2 linked regions of the Macaca fascicularis genome follow. The protein of the gene in region 2 purifies or fractionates together with the protein of the main gene of each other region. This does not show direct contact. Links are inferred from orthologs where the notes say so. Each region holds a gene or a part of one and is shown on either strand. Other genes may lie near its edges. The genes, in order: FBXW7 and SOX9.

Evidence for each region.
Region 1: the proteins of SOX9 (region 2) and FBXW7 purify together in Homo sapiens (affinity purification with western blotting; 4 studies listed by BioGRID and IntAct, with this or other methods). This does not show direct contact. The link is inferred for Macaca fascicularis from reciprocal best matches to the Homo sapiens genes SOX9 and FBXW7.

Annotation. Positions count from the first base shown.
Region 1 is NC_088379.1:157,240,049-157,251,445, forward strand, and holds part of FBXW7 (F-box/WD repeat-containing protein 7), read right to left. Parts: intron 10,133-11,397; coding exon 10,009-10,132; intron 8,311-10,008; coding exon 8,174-8,310; intron 7,223-8,173; coding exon 7,109-7,222; intron 5,842-7,108; coding exon 5,660-5,841; intron 3,803-5,659; coding exon 3,577-3,802; intron 1,990-3,576; coding exon 1,779-1,989; intron 729-1,778; coding exon 460-728; 3' UTR 1-459. UniProt on the Homo sapiens protein: Substrate recognition component of a SCF (SKP1-CUL1-F-box protein) E3 ubiquitin-protein ligase complex which mediates the ubiquitination and subsequent proteasomal degradation of target proteins.
Region 2 is NC_088390.1:78,445,579-78,456,352, reverse strand, and holds SOX9 (transcription factor SOX-9), read right to left. Parts: upstream 9,517-10,774; 5' UTR 9,157-9,516; coding exon 8,726-9,156; intron 7,823-8,725; coding exon 7,569-7,822; intron 6,996-7,568; coding exon 6,151-6,995; 3' UTR 4,140-6,150; downstream 1-4,139. UniProt on the Homo sapiens protein: Transcription factor that plays a key role in chondrocytes differentiation and skeletal development.

The sequences.
Region 1 (11,397 bases), on a different chromosome or scaffold from region 2:
TGCAGATGCTCTCTAATTAGAAAGTCAACCAGTACTTGTTTTGATGTTATTGCAGTTCCTTTCTAGGTGTCTAGTTGTCAGTGGTAAAAGAACAGGCTAGCAGAATCTGTAATGATGTTTCAGCATTAACACTGCCCAATGAGCACTGGAGAAGAAAATAAAGAAATAATTGCACCTGGTTTGATTTAGAAAGTCTCATTTTGCAAAGCTGCCCTCAGTCAAAAGTGAAGCCTTTTATGTGATGAGACAGCAGACGCCTCTCTTGTCAGTTATGGTTTGTCATCTCTTCTTCTTTTCCTTCTTAGTCTGTAGGTCTTTTCAATCTGTTGCCCCAAGCCAACATCCTGCACCACTGAGAACAAGGGATTTTTTTCTTTTTCTTTTCTTTTTTCTTTTTGCAGGGGGAAGGGCAGGGAGTATATCGTCTACACAATTGGACAAATTCATCTTTTCTGCTCTTCACTTCATGTCCACATCAAAGTCCAGCACCAGCAGCTTGGTTTCTTCAGTCCCATTCCGACTCCCAACTGCACACACCAGCTTTGTGTTTGAGGCTCTGATCCGCCACACGACTCCCCCACTCCCCCCACTCTCCAATGTGACTAGGTTTCGAATAAATTCACCCGTTTTCAAGTCCCATAGTTTTACAGTTCCATCATCTGAGCTGGTAATTACAAAGTTCTTGTTGAACTGTAAACAGGTCACAGCACTCTGATGCTTGTTGGGACCTAGACAAAAACCAAAAGAATTTAATTACTGGTTAGAAATAATGGCTATGGGTTAGTTACATTATAATTTGTAGACTTCTACTTTACAACATACAATAAATGCAACATTTGAAATGATACATATTTAGAAACCTATGTCCTCAGTATTTTAGGATCAGCAGGGATATAAGAAAATCTGGTAGCAATTTGTAACTGAAACATTAACTTTCAAGAGGCCTGTCTTCCAAGACCTTGGTTAGCTACCAGACAAATGTCTTATTTTCTGGCTGTGTGAATGACAGCATTCCTTGGTGAGGATGCAGATAGTGCAACTCCATACATACTGCTGATGGACAAATGAGCACTAAGAGATCTATTACTCCACCACTATGAACCACTCAAAGCTGAATGGTCACTATTCCAAAACTCTGAGAAGAGACAAAACCAATGAGTAAAAAGCTGCAATGTTGCCTATCAGATGCCGCCCCCCCTCCCCCACCCCAGAAAAAAACGCTTTCTAAGGGCTATAACAAATAGAAAAAGTTAATCATGAGGCATTGCTGTACCTCATCTAATATTAGTGATTTTTCACTTGTTTCTTTCTCTTATTTTAGTAGGCACTATTATTCCTCTCCATTCCAGTTAAGCACGTGACTAAGAGGAGGCCAAATAAATTTTCTATCAAGGATGCTTTTGTTTTTTTCAATAAGGTAGCCCTTCAAAATTGGACTACAAATTCAAAATGCAATGGCCAATCAAAAAAATATAATGAGTATGTTGCTTCTATGATATAGCCAAGATCTTTCTTCTCACTGTTCTTAAAGGTTAAGTAGAGTCAATTGAACATGCAGGAAGTGATTAAACAATTTTATATTATATATTAAAAACACAGTTCAAAACATTTCCTCAAGAGTAGACTAGTTCTGTAAGTCAGGGTGAAAATATGCATAAACTTTTCTGAAGTAATCATTCCGTATGAGGTTGACTCTTTTTGTAATGCTAAAGCTCCATATTTCCGTTGAATAATGATCTCATTTTTAATGAACAAAACTAAACGTAACTAATACTTACCTTGCAATGTTTGTAAACACTGTCCTGTTTTGATATCCCAGATTTTAACTGTAGAATCTGCATTCCCAGAGACAAGAATATTGTCTTTGAGTTCCATTCCACTTGTTAACGACTGGTGCCCTGTTAACGTGTGAATGCAATTCCCTGTCTCCACATCCCAAACGCGAATTGATGTATCAAGAGATCCACTCACCACATGGATACCATCAAACTACAAAAGACACAGTTTATTAGAATAGAAGTACGGATGCTCTTCATATCAATTACTGACCTTAATCCTAGTAGGAAAGGGGGAAGAGGATGGGAAATGGGTAATGCCAGGAACAAAATGAGGTACTAAGGTAAAGTGGCAATGAGGATAAAGTGCATGCCAAGCCATTCTACAATGTATGTTCTCACACCTTTCTATCAGAAAGTTTCATCTTTATGCCAAGCTGCTTCAAACTAGATGCAGAAGCAACTTAAAATGAAAACAAAGCACCTAAAATGAACAATATATTAATTTTCAAATCATCTGGCCCCACCTAGCTATATATCATGGGTGACTGAGAGAATTGCTATTTGAGTTTTCCTTCCCACTAGGAAGCTAAGACTAATGACATAGCTTATGATAAACGGAGTGCTTATCAGCACTTAAGGCATGAAAAGGGCTAGAGATAACTTTCGTGATGTTCAAAAGTAAGTTCCATTAAAAACCGTGTGTAAAATAAAATTTCATTTATAAGAACCTAATGCTAATTAGGAAATGTGCCAAAAGATAACTGTATCTGGAATCAGAAGAGGTGGCATTTTGTTATCAAAAGCAAACTACATACCACCTCTTCTCCAGCTTCCCAGCTACACCAAAAGTCAACAACAATCTATCATTTCTATATAATAATGTGGCTACCTCTTTTCTCAATCAAATGGGGTTATTTAAATTAGAATATTATATTCATTAAGCTTCTGAGAATATCACAAACAGGTGCAGCCAATTTCCCTTCCTCCAAATTCATCACCTTTTCTAATTTAGCAAACATCTTGATCATATTGTCAATATTTCATGACATGGACAATATTCCTTCGACAAAGAAACAAATATCCTAAGAACAGAATTGACAGTACTAAGATTATGTACTAATTTGCTGAACATTAATGGGCAATAACTGATAAATAAACTATATAGGCTGTAGGAAATATTTTTACATTGAAAATGTTGCCTTTCTGGAAACAAAACAAGATTCATATTCTAAACTTCCTATTCATCTAGTCAATGATCTTAAAATATGGCAATGTTTTCAAGGATATGGGCTTGAAATGTAAACCAAAAAAAAAAAAAAATCTGTTTAGTCAACTTTACTTCCTTATGACTACAAATCAGTGGGCCTGGGACAGTAGAGTGCTTTATGCAGAAAGGATCTATTTCCACTTTGAATGGGGATGGAATCACAATTACATGGTCCATCAACTTTCAGCTATCAAAGCAAAGGGTCAGCTTTGGGCCATATTAATCCTCTGCAAAGGAGTTTCTTAAAATCCAGGTTACTCTCCTATGAGACTATTTAACCATTAATTAATATAGCAAACCTTAGAGTCCCAAATTGTCAGGTTACAAGACAAATATTTGTATTTAGAGGAGAAATAGATCACAGAAAATTGAAAGCATCTAAATAATTTTGAAATTTATATAAAAACAGCAGAATAATCTGGTTAATCTTTTTTGGATTGTACTGGAGCAGCAATTTGACAGCGATTATCTGAGTAAAACAACCTTATGATTCATCAGGAGAGCATTTAAGGGACAGATAAGAGATCTTACCTGTAATGAATAGACTCTATTAGTATGCCCCTGCAACGTGTGTAGACAGGTTTCAGTCTCTGGATCCCACACCTTTACCATAAAATCATATGCTCCACTAACAACCCTCCTGCCATCATATTGAACACAGCGGACTGCTGCAACATGACCCATCAAAACATGTAAACACTGGCCTGTCTCAATATCCCAAACCCTAAGAGTGGCATCTCGGGAACCGCTAACAACTCTGCAGAGGGAAAAACAGAAAAACAAAACAAAACAAAAAAACCCATGTTTAGAATTTTTAATAATATGAGAAAACATGATAGATTTAGTCAAGGTTTTTTAGCTTTCTTTTTCTTACACAGGAACAACTCTTGTCAAAAGAAATCCTATGTAAAACCTTGGTATATAAACATACAATAAGGGAATGGGAAGTTGGGAAGCCTAGAATGCTTCATGCTTGGTTCCCTGACCTGTGGACCTTAGTTCCAGCACCTCGAGGTTCTGTGGGACTGAGTTTGAAAACCACTGCACTGTATTTTTTTTTAAAAGCAGCAGTAGCTGCCTCTAAATATATACAATAAGATTTTGATTTTAGAAATAAAATGTTAATGTGGGCATGTGTATAAAATGTTAATGGGAGAACTCTAGGTGGTAGTAGTTTAAAGAATTTAAATTTCTTCTTTATGTTCTTTGCCATTTTCCAAAATTTCAATTATGGATGCATATATTCCCTTGTGATTAGGTAAAAAATTCAATAAAGGTTATACAACAAAACAAGTCAGGATTTGGAATTTAAACAGCTGCAGATTTGTGTTTACACTATACATTCCAGTAAAAATTAACCAGTTTTAGACATGTCCTCAAACACAGGCTGCTTATGCTTTTAATGATTAGATTTATAAATATGCAATAGGCTATAAAAATATTGATATGGATCTTTAAAGATATGTACATCTTTAAAAACAATGGCTATCCCTTAAACATGTGGTTCAACATTAGTGCTACACTCTCCTGAAAACCAGAGCAATATGCAAATACTGTAATCACTTTTGGATTACAAAACAAAGCTGAAAACTCAGGTATCCTTATGTCATTCATTCTGAAGAGATAAAAGAAATACCACAGTTTCCATATTGGAAAAATTAGAAAATTAAAGGGTTGAGATTTAAGTCAGAACACAATGGAACACAATGAAAACATATTACAAATCTGGTGTGAAATCTGCTTAATGTAATGGTTCTTAATATAAGAAGATGCTATAGACAGAATTAAAGGTAAAGACTGCCATTGATTCACTGTAAGGACCTTTCAGAGAGACCTTTTTTGACAAATGAGGCAGAAATCACACTTGTTTAACAGGGGTATGATGAAGATAATAGAAAGATAGGATTTTAATAGGAGGGCTTTACAGGAGGAGATAAAAGTAATAGCAAAGGCACTGAGAAGAAAAAGTCAAGCAATCTAGTTTGGCAGACACCATTTTGAAAACTGGATTGAGGATTTCTTCCTTAATTCGTTAGTCAACAGTAGGCTCACAAAGACTTAAGAACTGGGCAGTGACACTATCATAATTATAAAAGGACTGTATGTCAGCATATAAAATGTAAGATGACCAAGTTAGAAAGTTGTGACACTAGTTCAGAATGAGAGAACAAATTACTCACAGGCCTCAGCCTTTGCCTAGACTTAAGAGATAGGGTGGGTGTAAGGTGGGTAGGTAATTTAAAAAGGCTCAGACGCTTGAAGCCTGAATTTGTCCCACTTGCAGAAGTAAGAATATCAAAAAAAGAGAGAGAAAAAATGATTTCTGCTTGAACATGATGAGTCATCAAAGATACAGAACAATAAAAAGGATTAGAGAGTAGAGAGCTTCAAAGAGGAAGCCGACAACACTAGCAAATGAAAAAGGAAACTTACAGACAATCCCCAATTTTAAGACAAAACACTATGGCTTTCCTAGAATAGAACCATCTGAAGTCTAATAATTAAATGTAATTTAAGAGCTCATTGTCACTATTTCAGTAACTCTATACAGAAAGGGCCCAAATTCACAAATAATAGAGGAAGAAGTCCCAACCACGATAAGATTTTCCCTTACCTTTTTTCATGAAGATGCATACAACGCACTGTGGAAGTATGCCCATATAAGGTGTGTATACATTCTCCGGTCTCTGCATTCCACACTTTGAGAGTCCGATCGGTAGATCCACTAATGATGATGTTGTCTCTCATTTGTGATGACCATACTCCACCTGTATGTCCCACTAATGTTCTCAGACACTGGAAAAACACTTAAGATGATTACTTTTGGGTAGAAAGGAAAAGTGATTTAAATAAAATTTAATAGCTCATTAAAATTTGGAGTAAAGTTATTTATTCGTTTGGCTCTTCAGAAAATATTATTTTACACATCCGTATAAAATGATCCCATCACTATTTATAGTTTTGTTTATTCAAAGCATTATAAATTTATATAAGCACAAGCAATTGAAGAACATGTAGAAAGCAAACATATGATATAAAATATGATATAATAAAAAGGAAACATGATATGAAAGCAATTATGATAGCTCTGGTCTCTTTGATGAAAAAATACTGAAATTGCAACTGGGTTTCTTCCATGGGAATAGATTCAATGAAAGTATGCCAACAGTATTGGGTGTGGCTACATACCACATTTCATCTGAATCTGCCCCAGGGCAGTAGTTAGGAGCCAGTGAAGCTACTTCTAGACAAGTAAAGACAGACATTAAGGCCCTGAAATAAATCCCAAACTAATATTACACTATGGAAATATAAAGCTGCTTTAAAAAATTTTAACATCTGACTTGGCGTATTTATAAGATACTTGCCAAGAAGCACCATGGTAAAAGACATTTTAAAAGACATGGATTTTTTTTTGTTTTCATACTCTCTTCTGTTATTTTTTAGGTGGCAATTACTTAATTCATGAAAATATTCTCTACTGGACAGATACAAATAAATATTTGCTAGAGAATCATTAAGGTATGATATAGTACACGGTCAAGCTGATTGCTTGGGCTACTTTTTTCTTCAAACTTACATTTAAATGCCTAGTCCACTCTCATCTCACAAGGGTTTGAGATAAGTATAAATTAACATGATTTATTAAGTTCTAAACAATAGGTAGGTTATCAACAAAGCAGTTCATAAGGAAAAATAAATACCCCTCAACCATACTTCTGAAAAACATTACAAAGTAATGAGGTATAACTTAGACAGTAAATAAAAGTGGGGAAAAATTGAGCCAAGAAAAATATAAAGCACCCTTGAAAATGTTAAAATATCTGTCACAAACTATGTAAATGAAAAAAAATTAATGAAACCTCTATCATGAGAAACATCATTATCCTCATGCCATTGATTTTCATAAATATGGGGGAAAAAGCTAAGTTACGAGCTCTGATATTTGCTATCCCAATAATTGAGAATCAAGAATGAATTCTGATTTTCTTTTTTCCAGTTGCTACTTGCAATGCTATACACAAAATTGTGACTTTGTGAAGTGTAGGAAGAGTAAACTTACTTTGCCCGTGACTGCTGACCAAACTTTTAGAGTGTTGTCATCAGAACCACTAACTATTCGGTTACCACAAAACTGTAAGCATGTGATCACATGATCATCATGTCCTTTCAGCACCTATAAGATAGATGTACAGATTAGAAATATGTTAATTAAATTATGTTCTTTAAAACACTGGTGAAGAGAAAAATGAAGGCACAAACTGGAACGGTAATTTGTAGTCTATCTCTAGAATTATAATTTATATAAAATATAAAGCATTATTTTTCCTGGCTGACGAATTCAGAATTAAACATTTTATTGTTTCCATAGTCTATTATTTATACTCAAAACATCAACTATTAAAGTTTTACTGCATCAAGACCTCATGAAGATGGTTCGAACACCAATGTATTTGACAATAATCTATTTTATCTGTTCAAACCAGAAGAATATGCCTCTAATTTTTACAACTTTGACACACAAGAACAAAATACGCATCTATTAACCACAAAGAGTAACAATTATTAGCATTCTCAAAACAAAAAAAATCTATAACATATACATATTAGTATCACAATGTCTCCCCAAACTGTTTTTTTCCAGTTGTAAAAATATGCTCAATAATTTAAAGTGTTCTTAACATTCTTTATATATTTGAAACGTTTTAATACAGAAAACCAGAATTATGCTTCAATTTATAAAAATAAGACACACGAAAGCCACCAATACCAAAACACAGACACTCCTCAAAAAATCATGTTTGGACTATGTGATCAGAGAAGGCAGCAAATTCTCAGGTAGAATGTGTATGACACAGTACAATTCAACAGGATATTGAGAGATTTTCATTTAAGTAAGATAAAAAGATACTCAATTTAACTTATCTTTTGTTCAAGCACAATTAGTTGTCAGATTAATTAGCAATAAAAGAATACTGTCAGTAATACTTTCAGTTATTTTAAAATATATGGTTTTCTTTCCACAGAAGAGAAGTGTCAAATTATACAGTTTGCCAAGAAGTGAAATAGTACACTAGGTACTAACACTGATTAATGGTTTCTGTTACACTGTGCAGAGTTCAGTTACCTTAGGAGATTTGAGTTCTCCTCGCCTCCAGTTAGTATCAATTCTGTGCTGTCTGATGTATGCACTTTTCCATGGACTGTGTATGAAACCTGGTTTTATTACTTTTCTTCTCTTGATGTGCAACGGTTCATCAATCCCTGAAGTGTTAGAGGTCAAGAGTAAATTGCCTTCACCAACAATAACAATTATACATTTTATAAAGTATTCCATCTTTCTCTCTGCTTGAAACCACTGAAATGTAAGACATTGTCCAATTTCTAATACTGTTATCACAGTATATAGCAATAATGTAAAGTTTGCACTTTATATGGCATATTTTTGTATTCACTATTTCATTTCTCAAAATGATTCTAAAAGATGCTGGTGAAGATGTGAGGAAATTGGAATGCTTGTGCAAATGGTGCAGCTGCTGTGGAAAATAGTCTGGTGGTTCCCCAAAACAAACACAGAATTAACATATGATCTAGCAATTCCATTTCTGGATACATAAGCAAAACAATTAAAGGCAGAGCCTTAAACAGTTATCTGTACACCTATGTTCATAGCAGGATGACTCATAATAACTAAAAGGTGCAAGCAATCCAAGGGCCCATCGACAGATGGATAAACAAAATGTAGCATTAGATACATATACACAATGGAATAAAGGAAATTCTGACACATGCTATGACATGGATGAACCTTGAAGACATTACACTAAGTGAAATAAGCTGATTACAAAAGGAAAAATATTGTATGATTTCACTTATATGAGGTAGCTAGAGTAGTCAAACTCATAGAGACAGAAAGTAAAAGGGTGGTTGCCAGAGGCTGTGGAGAGGAATAATGGGGAGTTATAACAGGGGGCATGGAGTTTCATGTGAGGAAGATGAAGTTCTGAACACAGATGATAGTGATAGTTGCAGAACAACGTGAATGTACTTAATGCCACTGAAATGTACATATAAAAATGGTTAAATTGATAAACTACATATATGTTATTACAATTTTTAAAAGATCATTAAAAAAATGATTATATGGGAGAAGGGAAGGCAGAGATTAATCCCACTTTATGTATACAGATACTTAAGAAGGAAGATTTCACTAATTAATCCAAGTCCTACAGAGGTGAAAAGCAGGATGAGAAACCAAGTACCCTGGATCTTTACCTCAAACCTTTATTAACTGGACTAACCATCAATGCTTCCCACTTGACTATAACCACCATGAATGGAATGATCACCTATAGAGTACCTGCATCATGCTCTATGATTCTTTCTAAAAAAAGTTTGCTTCTGAGGCACATAATACTTTTATATTTTTTCAAAAATATTTTTCTGGATGTCTGCTGGGGAAAACAACAATAAAAACAACAAAACAGCTCTCCCAATACAAAGGATAACTATTCCTCTACTAAGGAAAAAAATAGGTTTCAAGAACATAAGCTCCATGACAGAAAGAGAACTTCAGTTCACTGCTATATCCCCCACCTTGAAGAAATGTCTGGCTCATAGGAGGTGTTCAATAAACATTTATGAAAAGAATTAATTAATACTAAATATTTGGATATTTAATTGGAAATGTAATTTTGGGGTTTCCTTTAAATCATCCACATCTTGACTTTTTCATTGTTTATTAATTCTACTAGTGATAGGAAGCAAATCAGATATATTTGCTATTAGTTATATTGCTTGTTAAAGGGGTTAGCTGTAAGATTTGGCTCATTTCAATGTGTAGAATAATCTGTGGATTTTATTATAAGTAGGTGAATATTATTTTTATTTTTTCTACTTGTTTTCAGAATCACTCTGCTTTTCAAAGTATAAACATATTCTCTGTGCAATTTTGAACCTTACCCTCTTCTTTGCATTTCTCTCTCCAGAGAAGGTTGTCTTCAGCCAAAATTCTCCAATAGCGACATGTCTGAGCCGCTTGTAGCAGGTCTTTGGGTTCCAGGAATGAAAGCACATAGAGTGCCAACTAAGAAAAAAATGCATAGTATAATACCCATATTTAAATAAATATATATATTATATAAGTTAATTATTCTCCACAGGATGAGATACTTGATAAATATAATTCTGCACTCTGATTTTTAAAATTATGAAAGGCAGTAACTTCAGTCCTAACAAATATATACCAGATAAAAAACATACACACACCTTATGGTTTTTATGAACTTCACTCTACTCTTTACCTCTTCAGGGACTACTGATTAAAGCTCTCTGTCTCTGCTCTTGCCTTGCTCTGTGAGCCTCAACTTAATAATTCTTTTTTAAAAAAATGTTATTAGTTGTTTAACTTTGTTCTCTATCCTACTACAATGTAAATTCACTGAAGATAGGACCTAAATGCTTGCCTGACAGACAAGAAATAATTTTTATATATTCTGTGTGGCATGACTTCAGATCATTTCTGATTGATATATATCATAATTAACAGTCTTCAAATCAAAGTGTTTATTATCATAATGAACTTTTGAAACACTTACATCCTTGACTGTAAATGACAAAGGGGGACAATTATTAAACCATTCCATAGACATATAAAAGTAATTGAGTTCTAATTACTTTACATTACTTAAAAGGATCTTCTTGATGGGCCACACAGAGTTGTATATTTGAGCTAACTCTTTGGTATACCACTGATTAAAAAATTTTGTTTATAATACTTGTAAACTATTAATTTTTTTCAGTGTGTCAGTTCAAATAAAGAGGAAAAATAAAGAGAAAAAAAAGGGGAATTATAGCCTCTCTTTATTCAAATAGCCTCACATATCACATAAAATTTTAAATTATGATACAAGGAAAACCATTTAAATAGAGCAATTAAGTTCAGTTTTCACAAGAACTAAATGACAAGAACTAAAACAAATTATCCATTAAAGGGTCAAGGGTCATATAGGGAGTAAAAGCACAATTTTAATTATTTTTGATGCTAAATATAAATTATATAATATAAATTATGCTTTCCCAATGACTTTACATATATAAGGAGTTCATCATGGGCTGGTGTGGTGGCTCACTCCTGTAATACCAGCACTTTGGGAGGCCAAGGTGGGTGGCTCACTCGAGGCCAGAAGTTCGACACCAGCTTGGCCAATGTGGTGAAACCCCATCTCTCCTAAAAATACAAAAATTTGCCAGGTGTGGTGGTGCACACTTATAATCCCAGCTACTCGGGAGGCTGAGGCACAAGAATCACTTGAATCCGGCAGGTGGAGGTTGCAGTGAGTCAAGATCACG
Region 2 (10,774 bases):
ATTACAGGATAGGTAAGAAATTACTTAACATAACATAACTGGGTGACTTGGCTGCTATAAGAGCTAATATGATTTTAATTTAAATTAATAGAAACATGATTCCTGATGACAAGAATGATGAATCTATTTGTCTTCCATGTTAGCCAAGTATTTGGAGTCCTGGAAAAAATCCGAGTGCACTCATTTGAGAATACTAGTAAGTGAAGTACATTCGAAGAAGGCTGTCAAATATAAAAGGGTTTGGGAGCCCTATCATACGTAAAATGTATTGTAAGTGTTTAGATTGGGAAGAGTAAAAGAAAACTTTAAAACTACACACATAGTTGAAAGGCTGTCACTCGGAAGAAGGATAAGACACACATTATTCTGCTGTGGAGGTGGGCCACCTTGGGCCATTGCATGGAAAGTGCAGAGGTAAGATTTTTCCACATTTAAAGATCTCCATGGTGCATGTGAGCTCTCAATCCATGCAGGTATTCTGGAAGCGATGGAGAAGTATTCAATAGCTGAGATAATGTATAAGAGATTTTTGCAATGCAAACACAAATAAATTAAAAGACCTTTCTTTATACCTTCCTCATTTCTGATTCCTTCCTCATTTCTGCAGGCTACATTAACCAAATCTCTAGAGATCCAAAGACTCTTTGGATACTAGGGACTGGATTTTTCTCTTGGGGTCTCTGCTAAAAAGATGATTGTGAGACCCATGAATCCATGGTTCATTAAGAGGTAGAGAGACTAATAGAGGGTTATTGGGGGGTAGGGCAGAGGGGCAGGAGAGAGTGACTAAGGTAAAAATAGAGTGGGTTCCCTTTATGTAAATGGAGTCAATTTTATATCACTGAAAAAGAGATGAAGATCAGGAGAGGAAAAATGAACTCAGCATGTTCTCACCAAAACCATTTCCAAATCCATCAACTCCTCCTTCCCTGTGCCTGTTCTCCCAGTTGGCCCTAATGAGTTGCATTTTTCCCCCATGGCATGCAAACAAGGAAAGACCAGGAAGTACTATTTATTTTTGCCTGCCTCTTCTTCATGAAAATGTAAGCCCCATGGGGCAGTCTTTCTTGTTCATGGCTGCATCCTAATCAAATGTTTACAGAAAGAATGAGGAGTGGGAATCATTCTAGAGTGGAATATGACAGCAGGAAATAATGGTGATCGGATGAAGCTCAATATAAAATCCTGAATACTCAAGGGAAGTGTCTAACCATAGCTTCAGGGAACTATTGCCCCAAATTTAGCCTGGTTGTTTTCTGAGATTACCTGGCCCATGTTGTATCTGGTCAAAAAAGAACGATTCTCCAGAAGTTCATAGTAAAATAGTTCTAGTCTGTGCTTGATGGAAGAGGAATAGCTCAATCAGGGCCCAGCAGAGTTTTCAGCTGTTGGAGTCAACGGGAGACTCTGAGAAAATGCAGGGGAGAGGTGGCAAAGAAAGGAAGAAAAGGTATGAGCAGGAAAAGGGAAGGGAAAGAATAGGAGGGCAGGTCATTGCGTTTCTGGTGTGCAAGAAACCTGTCTTATGCCCACAAGTGAAGGTCATTCGAGAAGCGAAAATTCATTTGACTCTCAGAGGGATGAGAAACTGTGTAAAGACAAGTGGTAGAGTGTTACTGCAGAGATTCCAGTGTCTTCTTTGGCAATACCATCATGTTCATGGATACAATGGAAGGGCACCTACTATGCTTCAGGTACTGTTGAGAACAGAAAGAAATCTTGCTATCTTCTACGGCAGCCTCTAATGCTGCAGTTTACTGGCCAGTAGGTGTGGTCAGGGGCGGATCCAGCTTTTGTGGGGCATGAAGCTTATTCTTTTTTTTTTTTTTTTTTTTTTTTGAAGAGAAGCTCTTTAAGAAAAATAATTTCAATTTTAAAAAGTCAAGAATAAGTCTAGAGCCTTAAAAGGAGCCTGTGCTTTTGAGAGGCACTGAAGCTTGGGCTTTGTTTGCTTCATAGTAAATCCATCTCTGGCTGTAGTGATAGTTCATCAATTACTTTAATATAAAAAGTGCCACCATGCTGCCTCAAAAACATTCATTTTGGAAATCAGGGAAGGAAAGGGATGGGATGGAGTTGAAGTGGGAAAGTCAAACAGCTCAAACGAATCCACATGGTTCTATTTTAATAATAGAGCAAAAGACTGATTCTTAAATGAGTTTATTTTTATTCCCTTTTGCTAAAAATTCCAGTTTTGTTAAAATGGTTAGCAAAGAAAAGGTTTTATTTTAAGTACAAACAAACAAATAAATAACCCTGGATCTACATACAAACTCTTTCCGGTGTAGAGGACTCTCCTTGGTTTCCAATCAATATGTTGCTGTTGCCAGGGTGATAAGCTCCGTGCTTCTGGATTTAGACTAAAAATTCCTCCAAAATATTTTATAATCTGTTGATGTTGGGCTTTGACTAGATCTGATAGATATGGGGGTGAGTGGGATTCTGAGGAATTCTCTCTCAGCACTTCTGTGTCTCTTGTGTTTTACTGTGTATCAGAGCCACTCGGGTAGCTTATGAAACACTTTTTCCTGGGTATTACTCCCAGGAATTCTAATGCAGGGAGACTGCTGTACAGACCAGGAGACTCCAATGCAGTCAATTCCCAGATTGCTCTGGGTAAAATCTCCCCTATTAACAACCTGCTTTATGTAGGAGGAATTATAAACATACTCAGCAAAAGGGGAAACTGAGGCACAGGAAAGCAAAACAACTTGCCTCAGGTCCCTTCACAAGTTTATGTTCAAACAGGACATTTCAGCTTCAAGAAGTCCTGGCAAAGGCCACATACTGGGAAAAAAGAGCATGTTTCTGGAAGAAAGAACAGTACAACAAACATACAGATTTGCTAGGGAAGGGGGTAGTCACAGTGGAATGGTGTGTGTTGATTTTAATAGACAAAGGGATTAGAATGAATAAGGTAGACAAGAATTAGTGAACACCACAGAGACTTTTTCAAAGGACTTTGTGAGTGTTGGCAAGAGAAAAAAAAATAGAGATTTTGTAAGAGCGGAGGGCCTCAGTGCATGGAAGGCTATGTCACAAACAAGGAACAGAATTTGATGTCTGAAGGGGTAGGGAAGGATTTGCACAGTCCCCCGCAGATCACAGGCCCTCAATCAATGTTTGTTGAAGGAATTTGCAAAGGAGGCCGAGTACTAATGTAGACTCGATTTGATAACTACCATTTTCCTGGTTGCCATGTTCCTGGTGTGGGATGTCAGCCAGGAATCCAATAAGCAGAAACAGACAATGTGAGGTAATGCCAGAGAGGTTGGACTCTGGTTAAGACTGTCAGAGACACAGGCCTAGTAGTAAAGCTAGCCTGAGAGGGTGAAGGTGACTGACTCTTTAGAGACACTTCTCCAATCAGCTGGGGTGTGGGAGTGGGGGTGGGGAGGTGTGCCCATGTGAGGGAAAGAGTGATTTCATCTATTTAATGAAAAATGACCTGAACGTTTCTCTGAACCTGGAAACTCCCCATCTAACCGGGGCCAAGGAAAACAGGATTAGGTCTTGTTTCTTCTACAATGGCTTTGCGTCTGCTTAGAATGAGTTAAACTGGAGGGAGCAGAAAAATCATCCCCTTTCATTGTTTCTGCAGAGAAATCTGGAAGGCTCTGAATCATTTAATGGGTTAATACGACAGGCTTCCCTCTGGTTCCCTGTAGACATTGTTTTTCTTTGGCTTCCTTTGCTTTTTAAATGGACACTCCATTTCTTGGGTATGTGTTCATAGGACAGAAAGTTTGCCATATTAAAACCAGAGAAACAAGTCACCCCTCTGGCATTCTGTCTACTGACGAGCTCCTGATTTCAGTCTAATATTCCCTCTGACCTCCACAAGGGACAGCTTTTGCCCTGAAGCATGAGGTCATGAAAACCACAACAAACATTTTTGCCAGAGTGGGCAACTACTGACATGTAATTTTCTGTGTGATCGAAATATTCAAGTGGCACTTTTTCAAGATTTCTCTGCCTAGATGTTTGGAGATACACAGTCTTTTCCTCAGCATGTTTTCTAGGATTGCCAAAGGTGCTCATAAAAAACATCACAGTCGTCAGCACTTCACGATGTCTTTTGTGCTCAAATTTGCCAAGTCGTCCAACAGGAGAACTGGGTGAATAAATCCACAGGGCCATTTTCTTTTTAATGCAATGTATATTTATTGTAAACAATAATATACAAAAAAAAAAGAGAGAAAGAAAAAGGGAAAGGTAAGTTTCACGGAGAGAACAAAAGGTTTGGGGGTGGGAGGGAAACATGTGAAACAAACAAAACATGTACACAAACCAAAGCTTACCTAAAGACAAAATATGATTTAAATGCCAGGTTTCTTAAGTTACAGAAATATCTTTTTAAAAAGATCTGCTTTTATACAGAAATTGAAGGATGCCATATTATGAGTGCTTTAAGATTTTATTCTACTGACTTCTAAAACTGTTAATATATCTTTTTTTAAATAAAAAAAAAAAGTTTGCTGTCTTTTTTAAAAAGCAATCCTCAAAACTCTCCAGCCACAGCAGTAATTAAGATTAAGGTCTGTCAGTGGGCTGATCCCCTCCAGGTAGCCTCCCTCACTCCAAGAGAAGATGCAGAGGAATTATTGATGACACATGCTTGCATTGTTTTTGTGTCAACACACACACACACACACACACACACACACACACACGATGTAGGGCGGCCCAAAGGTCTGTGGCAGAAAACGCTGCAAATGACTCAGTGATACACTACATTTGCAATCTCTCATTTGTACAAAGAGAAACAAGTTTCCAGTTTGTTTTCAACAAAAAGAAAAAAAGGATGGACAAAAAGGCATTTATACAAATCTAGGATGAGGAATCCAAAGAAACTTGCTTTTAATAATAAAAAAAGATTAAAGAGATAAATAAAAAAAAAAACTGGTTACAGTTAAGAACATAATTTAACAACAGATGACCATACCCTTTGAGGAAGGCTCCAACAACCTATTTTAAAGAAGGTAAAATTGAGAAAAAAAAATTTTGTTTTAATTAAAACCTCTCCTTACAAAATAAATAATTTTAGCACGTGGAATGTCTTGAAGGTTAACTGCTGGTGTTCAGAGAGGCACAGGTGACAGAACGAGCAGGCATCTGCCTTCCACATGGGGCCCAGGCAGGCAATGGGGGGCAGTGTGCTCGGGCACTTATTGGCTGCTGAAACATTCCCAGAACAGATTTTGTCTCCTTTGCTTGCCTTTACCTCTTTTAAGACTGCAGTGAACAAGCAAAGGCAGGAGGAAATGCACTAAAAGAGAGCGCAAATGTTTCCCAGCAGCATGGTTTTAAGGCTCAAGGTGTTTTTTCTTGTTTAAAAAAATATATATATGATAAAGCTTACCAAATGCTTCTCTAAACTATTGTTTACTCTCATAATTGCAAAATAAGGCCTTTATTTTTTTAAGGCAGCTCCTCCTCGAATCGCAAAGCCTGAGGAATTAAGCAAAGTTAACCCCCAAAACTGATCACATAACACAATTCTTTTTAAAATGTTAATACAACAGGAATTTTTTTTTTTTTGTAAGAGAAAGCAAATCTGTACAAAAATACTCTGGTTGCAAGAAAAGCTAGGGCACACTGTTCAACTAAGAGTAGTTTAGCTGTTGGAAAAATAAGAGCATTTAATTTTATCTAAAAATATGTATAAATCCCCTCAAAATGGTAATGAATCATACACAGTACATACTAAAAATATTTAAAATAGAGAATATTCCTCACAGAGGACTTTTTTCTTTAATTACTGCTAAAAAAATAATTACAAAGTCCAAACAGGCAGAGAGATTTAGCACACTGATCACACGATTCTCCATCATCCTCCACGCTTGCTCTGAAGAGGGTTTAAAAAGTCCAGTTTCTCGTTGATTTCGCTGCTCCATTTAGCCAAGGTTGGCCTGGCCACTGATTGGCCACAAGTGGGTAATGCGCTTGGATAGGTCATGTCTCTGTCTTGGAAATTTGGGTACGAGTTGCCTTTAGCTTAAATGTCTTTAAGGAAGAAGAAGAAGAAAACAAAAAACAAAATAAAAAACAAAACCCACAAATGTCCAAAGGGAATTCTGGTTGGTCCTCTCTTTCTTCGGTTATTTTTAGGATCATCTCGGCCATCTTCGCCCTTCATAGGAGGCCTCCTCAAGGTCGGGTGAGCTGTGTGTAGACGGGTTGTTCCCAGTGCTGCGGGCTGTGGGTCTGCGGGATGGAAGGAACCCCAGAGGTGTCGGCGATGGGGGTGTACATGGGGCGCTGGGCGGGGTTCATGTAGGTGAAGGTGGAGTAGAGGCCGGTGCCCTGGCCCGCCGCGTGGCTGTAGTAGGAGCTGGAGTTCTGGTGGTCGGTGTAGTCGTACTGCGAGCGGGTGATGGGCGGGTAGGAAGGGCTGTAGTGCGGAAGGTTGAAGGGGCTGTAGGCGATCTGCTGGGGCGAGTGCTGCTGCTGCTCGCTGTAGTGGCTGGGGCTCAGCTGCTCCGTCTTGATGTGCGTTCGCTGGGACTGGCCCGGCTCGCTGCTCAGTGTGGTCAGCGTGTGCGCCTGTGGCTGCTGTGGGGGCGCGGCCGGCTGCTGCGGGGGCGCCGCCTGCTGCTGGGGGGGCGCCTGCGGGGCCGGCGGGGCCTGCGGAGGCTGCTGCGGGGGTGGCGGCGGCGCCTGCTGCTTGGACATCCACACGTGGCCCGCGCCCGCCGGGGTGGCCGCGGTGCTGCTGATGCCGTAGCTGCCCGTGTAGGTGACCTGGCCATGCGTGGCCGGCACCCCCGGGTGGCCGTTGGGCGGCAGGTACTGGTCAAACTCGTTGACGTCGAAGGTCTCGATGTTGGAGATGACGTCGCTGCTCAGCTCGCCGATGTCCACGTCGCGGAAGTCGATGGGGGGCTGTCTGCCTCCCTCTGGCAGGGGGCGCCCCTCTCGCTTCAGGTCAGCCTTGCCCGGCTGCACGTCGGTTTTGGGGGTGGTGGGTGGGGTCGGTGGGCCCTGGGATTGCCCTGCGGACAATAAAAGAACAAGCACGGGAAAATCAACAAGTGCTGTGCAGACGCCCTAGTCTTAGGCACCCTCCGGGGACCCTCCCTCGCTGCTAAAGTGTAGTAAGGGCCCGCACCCGCGCGGGAGGCGCGCTGCACCGGAGATAACTCGCCCAATGATTAACCCGCCGGTACACACTGGACAGCCCCCTTTTATCAGGGGAGGGTCTGGGGCCCGGAGGGTCCGGAAGAACAAATTGCTACTTGTAGAAGAGCCCTGTGTATGCTTTTGGGGTGGGGGAGCAAAGGAAGAAGGGGGAGGTCTCGTAAGGCTTGTAAGGGCATTTTACCTCCCAATAAAAAGAGTTAATCTCTTCGGATGCTGGGATTGAGTTGGGGTGTGTGTGTGTGTATGTGTGTGTGTTTGGGTGCCTCTTAGGCTCTGGGTAGAGAGGGGGAGCGGGACAGGGGCAAAGGGTAGTGTGTACCTCCCGGGAAGCATAAAGTCTCCACAAAGAATCTCCCAGGTGGAGGGCAGGGGGTGTGCCAGGCGGGCCGGGGTGGCTTGTCCTGCGGGACTGAGGGGCGACTCACCCGAGTGCTCGCCGGGGGAGTGCACTTCGCTCATGCCGGAGGAGGAGTGCGGCGAGTCAGCCTGCAGCGCCTTGAAGATGGCGTTGGGGGAGATGTGCGTCTGCTCCGTGGCCTCCTCTGCCTCCGCCTGCCCGTTCTTCACCGACTTCCTCCGCCGCGGCTGGTACTTGTAATCCGGGTGGTCCTTCTTGTGCTGCACACGCAGCCGCTCCGCCTCCTCCACGAAGGGCCGCTTCTCGCTCTCGTTCAGAAGTCTGCTTGGGGCGGGGCGGGGCGGGGGACACAGAGAAAAAGAGGGAGAGGGGTCAGTGAAACCCGCCAAACTGTCAGGTCGGCGGGGAGGAGGCGGCGACCCAGACCACTTGGCTTCCTTTGCATACAACTCCATCTTCCCTCCCGCCTGCAACCACGGCTTATAACTTTTCTTAAAAATAAACAAATAAATAAATAAGTTCTTGCAGTCCGACCTGAGCGGTCACTCCCCGCCCCCTCCATCCCCTCCCCTTTTATTTCTATTTTGGAAACGCTGAAGATGAAAACGACTCCTGCTGCTGCCCCCTAAACGCCTTTGCTGCTGGAGTTATCGCCCCCAATCCCAACACCCTTAAAAACTTTTCCCCAATTACTCTCCAATTCTCACCCCCCCATACACTCCCACCTATTTCCAGCAGCCTCCCTCCTCCCGCCTTCCAATTCCTGCCAAGGGTCTCCTCCAACCTCGGTTTCTCCCCTGCCCCATCTCCGTGGGGGTGTGTGTGTGTGGGGAGGAGGGGGCTGCACGAGACAGTGCAGTTTTAAGGGGCGGGGTGGGGGAAGCCAAGCTTCACTTCCCCGCCCCGATTGAGCTTCCAGGCGACGGGAAGGCAGGATGGCAGCCCCCTCCTTCCGTCTCCCACCAGTCTTCGTCCATCCTCCAGCTACCTCCCCCACCCCTTCCACTTACCACCCCCTCCTCCGCGTCCCCGCGAGCAGCCCAAGAACTTTGACAAACTCTGAGCCACAGTTACACCCCGTTCCCACTCCCACACCCCCATCCCGCCGGCTCCCGGAACCGCAACTCCCGGGCGATGGGAGGCGGGGCGGGGCAAGTCAGCCCTGGCCAGCGCCCCCCGCCGCCACGATGCCCACCCTGCCGCGCCGCCCCCGCTGGGCCCTACCTCCAGAGCTTGCCCAGCGTCTTGCTGAGCTCGGCGTTGTGCAAGTGCGGGTACTGGTCCGCGAGCTTCCTGCGCGCCGCCTGCGCCCACACCATGAAGGCGTTCATGGGCCGCTTGACGTGCGGCTTGTTTTTGCTGGAGCCGTTGACGCGCACCGGCATGGGCACCAGCGTCCAGTCGTAGCCCTTGAGCACCTGGCTGACTGCCTCGCGGATGCACACGGGGAACTTGTCCTCCTCGCTCTCCTTCTTCAGGTCGGGCTCGCCCTTGGGGAACGTGTTCTCCTGGGGCCGCGTGTTCTCGGTGTCCGAGCCGGAGCCCGACGGGCAGGGCGAGCCCGCGGAGTCCTCGGACATGGTGGGGCTGGGGGCGCCGGACAGGCCCTTCTCCTGCTCGTCGGTCATCTTCATGAAGGGGTCCAGGAGATTCATACGCGGGCCCGGGGCAGGGGGCGGGTGGCCGGGAAAGGCGAGAAGCCGCGGCGGCTCGGGGACTCGAGGCGCGGGCTCCTCTCCCCTCGGCTGCCCGGATGCGGAGCGAGCGGCTCCCGGGGAGGCTGGCGCGTCGGCCGGCTACCACTTAGGGAGGCGCGGGGCCAGTCCGCAGCTGCCCGCTCCAAGTAGGGGGAGGCGAATTGGAGAGGAGGAGGAGGGGAGGAAAAGGAGCAAAAGTGGGGGCGCTTGTACCCCTTCTCTTCTCCTCCTGCAAAGAAAAGTTTCCGGGGTTGAAACTGGCGAGTCTCCGCGCCACTGAAGTTTCCAGTCAGTTTCGAGCTCCGCTCTCCGCTCTCCAACTCCCAGCCCAGGGTCTCTTTAATAAATACTCCTCCTCACCTTAGAGCCACCCGCCAATCACAGCACAGCAGTCCCAGGCAGCTGATTGGACCCGATTTTGGGGAGGGAGGAGGATTGCGGCACTGGGCTGGGTGACGAGACGGGAGGGGAGAAGAGGGGAGGGGAGCGCAGCCGAAGGGTGGACGGTCGGGAAGGGGGGGCGGGGGGTGCTGCGGGAAAGGCGGGGGACCCGGGACTTCCAAGTGTGTAAGTTTGTCGAACTCTCGGAATGCCAGAATTTTAGTGACTTCTCCGCGCGAATCTTTGTGTGTGTGTGTGTGCGCGCGCGCGCGCAAGTGTGTATGTCTAGACTAGGATCTACCCCCACCTCCGACATTTATTTTCACTGCTCTCTCCGCGGCACAGGGGACTTAGCTGGAGTTTGTAGTATTCGAAAAGCAGCCGCTTCTTAATGTGTAGCCGAGTTTACGCGCCTGGGGCCTGCCTGCCTGCAAAAGTGCTTAGAAATAGTCTTTTGAAGCAAATGTTTTGGTGACTCAACGCCCGCTGTTCCTCCGTAATAATCCACATAAATAGATTAACATGCTCGGGTTCGCCGGGGCTGGTGCGGCTGGTCAGGATTCTGCTGCGCTTTTGCAAAGGGAGTCAATGGAAAGCAAAGCTAAGTCCCCGCGAAGGTTGGCAGCGGCGGCCGTGGCCACGCAGGATCCCCGCGCTCTCGGGGCCGCCCCGCGCCACACCGACCTTGAGCTCTGACAAGTCTTTCTCCAGTCCCGCGACCCCGCCGACGCTCCTCAGTAACAGGGCTACTGCTCTGACGTTTTGGTCTTTGCCTCCTGGCCGAGTCAGAAACGTCAGCCGAGTCGTCCTGCCTGGGGAGAGTTTGCTAACTGCTCTGGCTTTGAGAGATCGAAGTTTGCCAATGCGGCTGTCCCGGGCCGCGAGGCCCAGGCCGGTCACTTGGTTTGCAAAAGGCCAAACAAATGGGCACCACGGCAGACAAAATGCTCCACTCTGGCAGAGTCGTGCTGCTTGCCCGCTTTTGCTGGCATTTACTAAACACCTGAAGGGGTGAAGCGCTGGTGCTTCTGACTCCAGTCCGGTCGGTTCAGACCTGCATATAGTTTGGAGTTCTGGGGGAGGCATTGGTGGTGTCTCTCATGTATTTCAAGTGTGATTTGAGCACAACCTTTGTGTTCACACGAAATGCTTAGAGCCAGGTTGGGTAAGTGCAGAGCTATCTGCTCTGGGACAG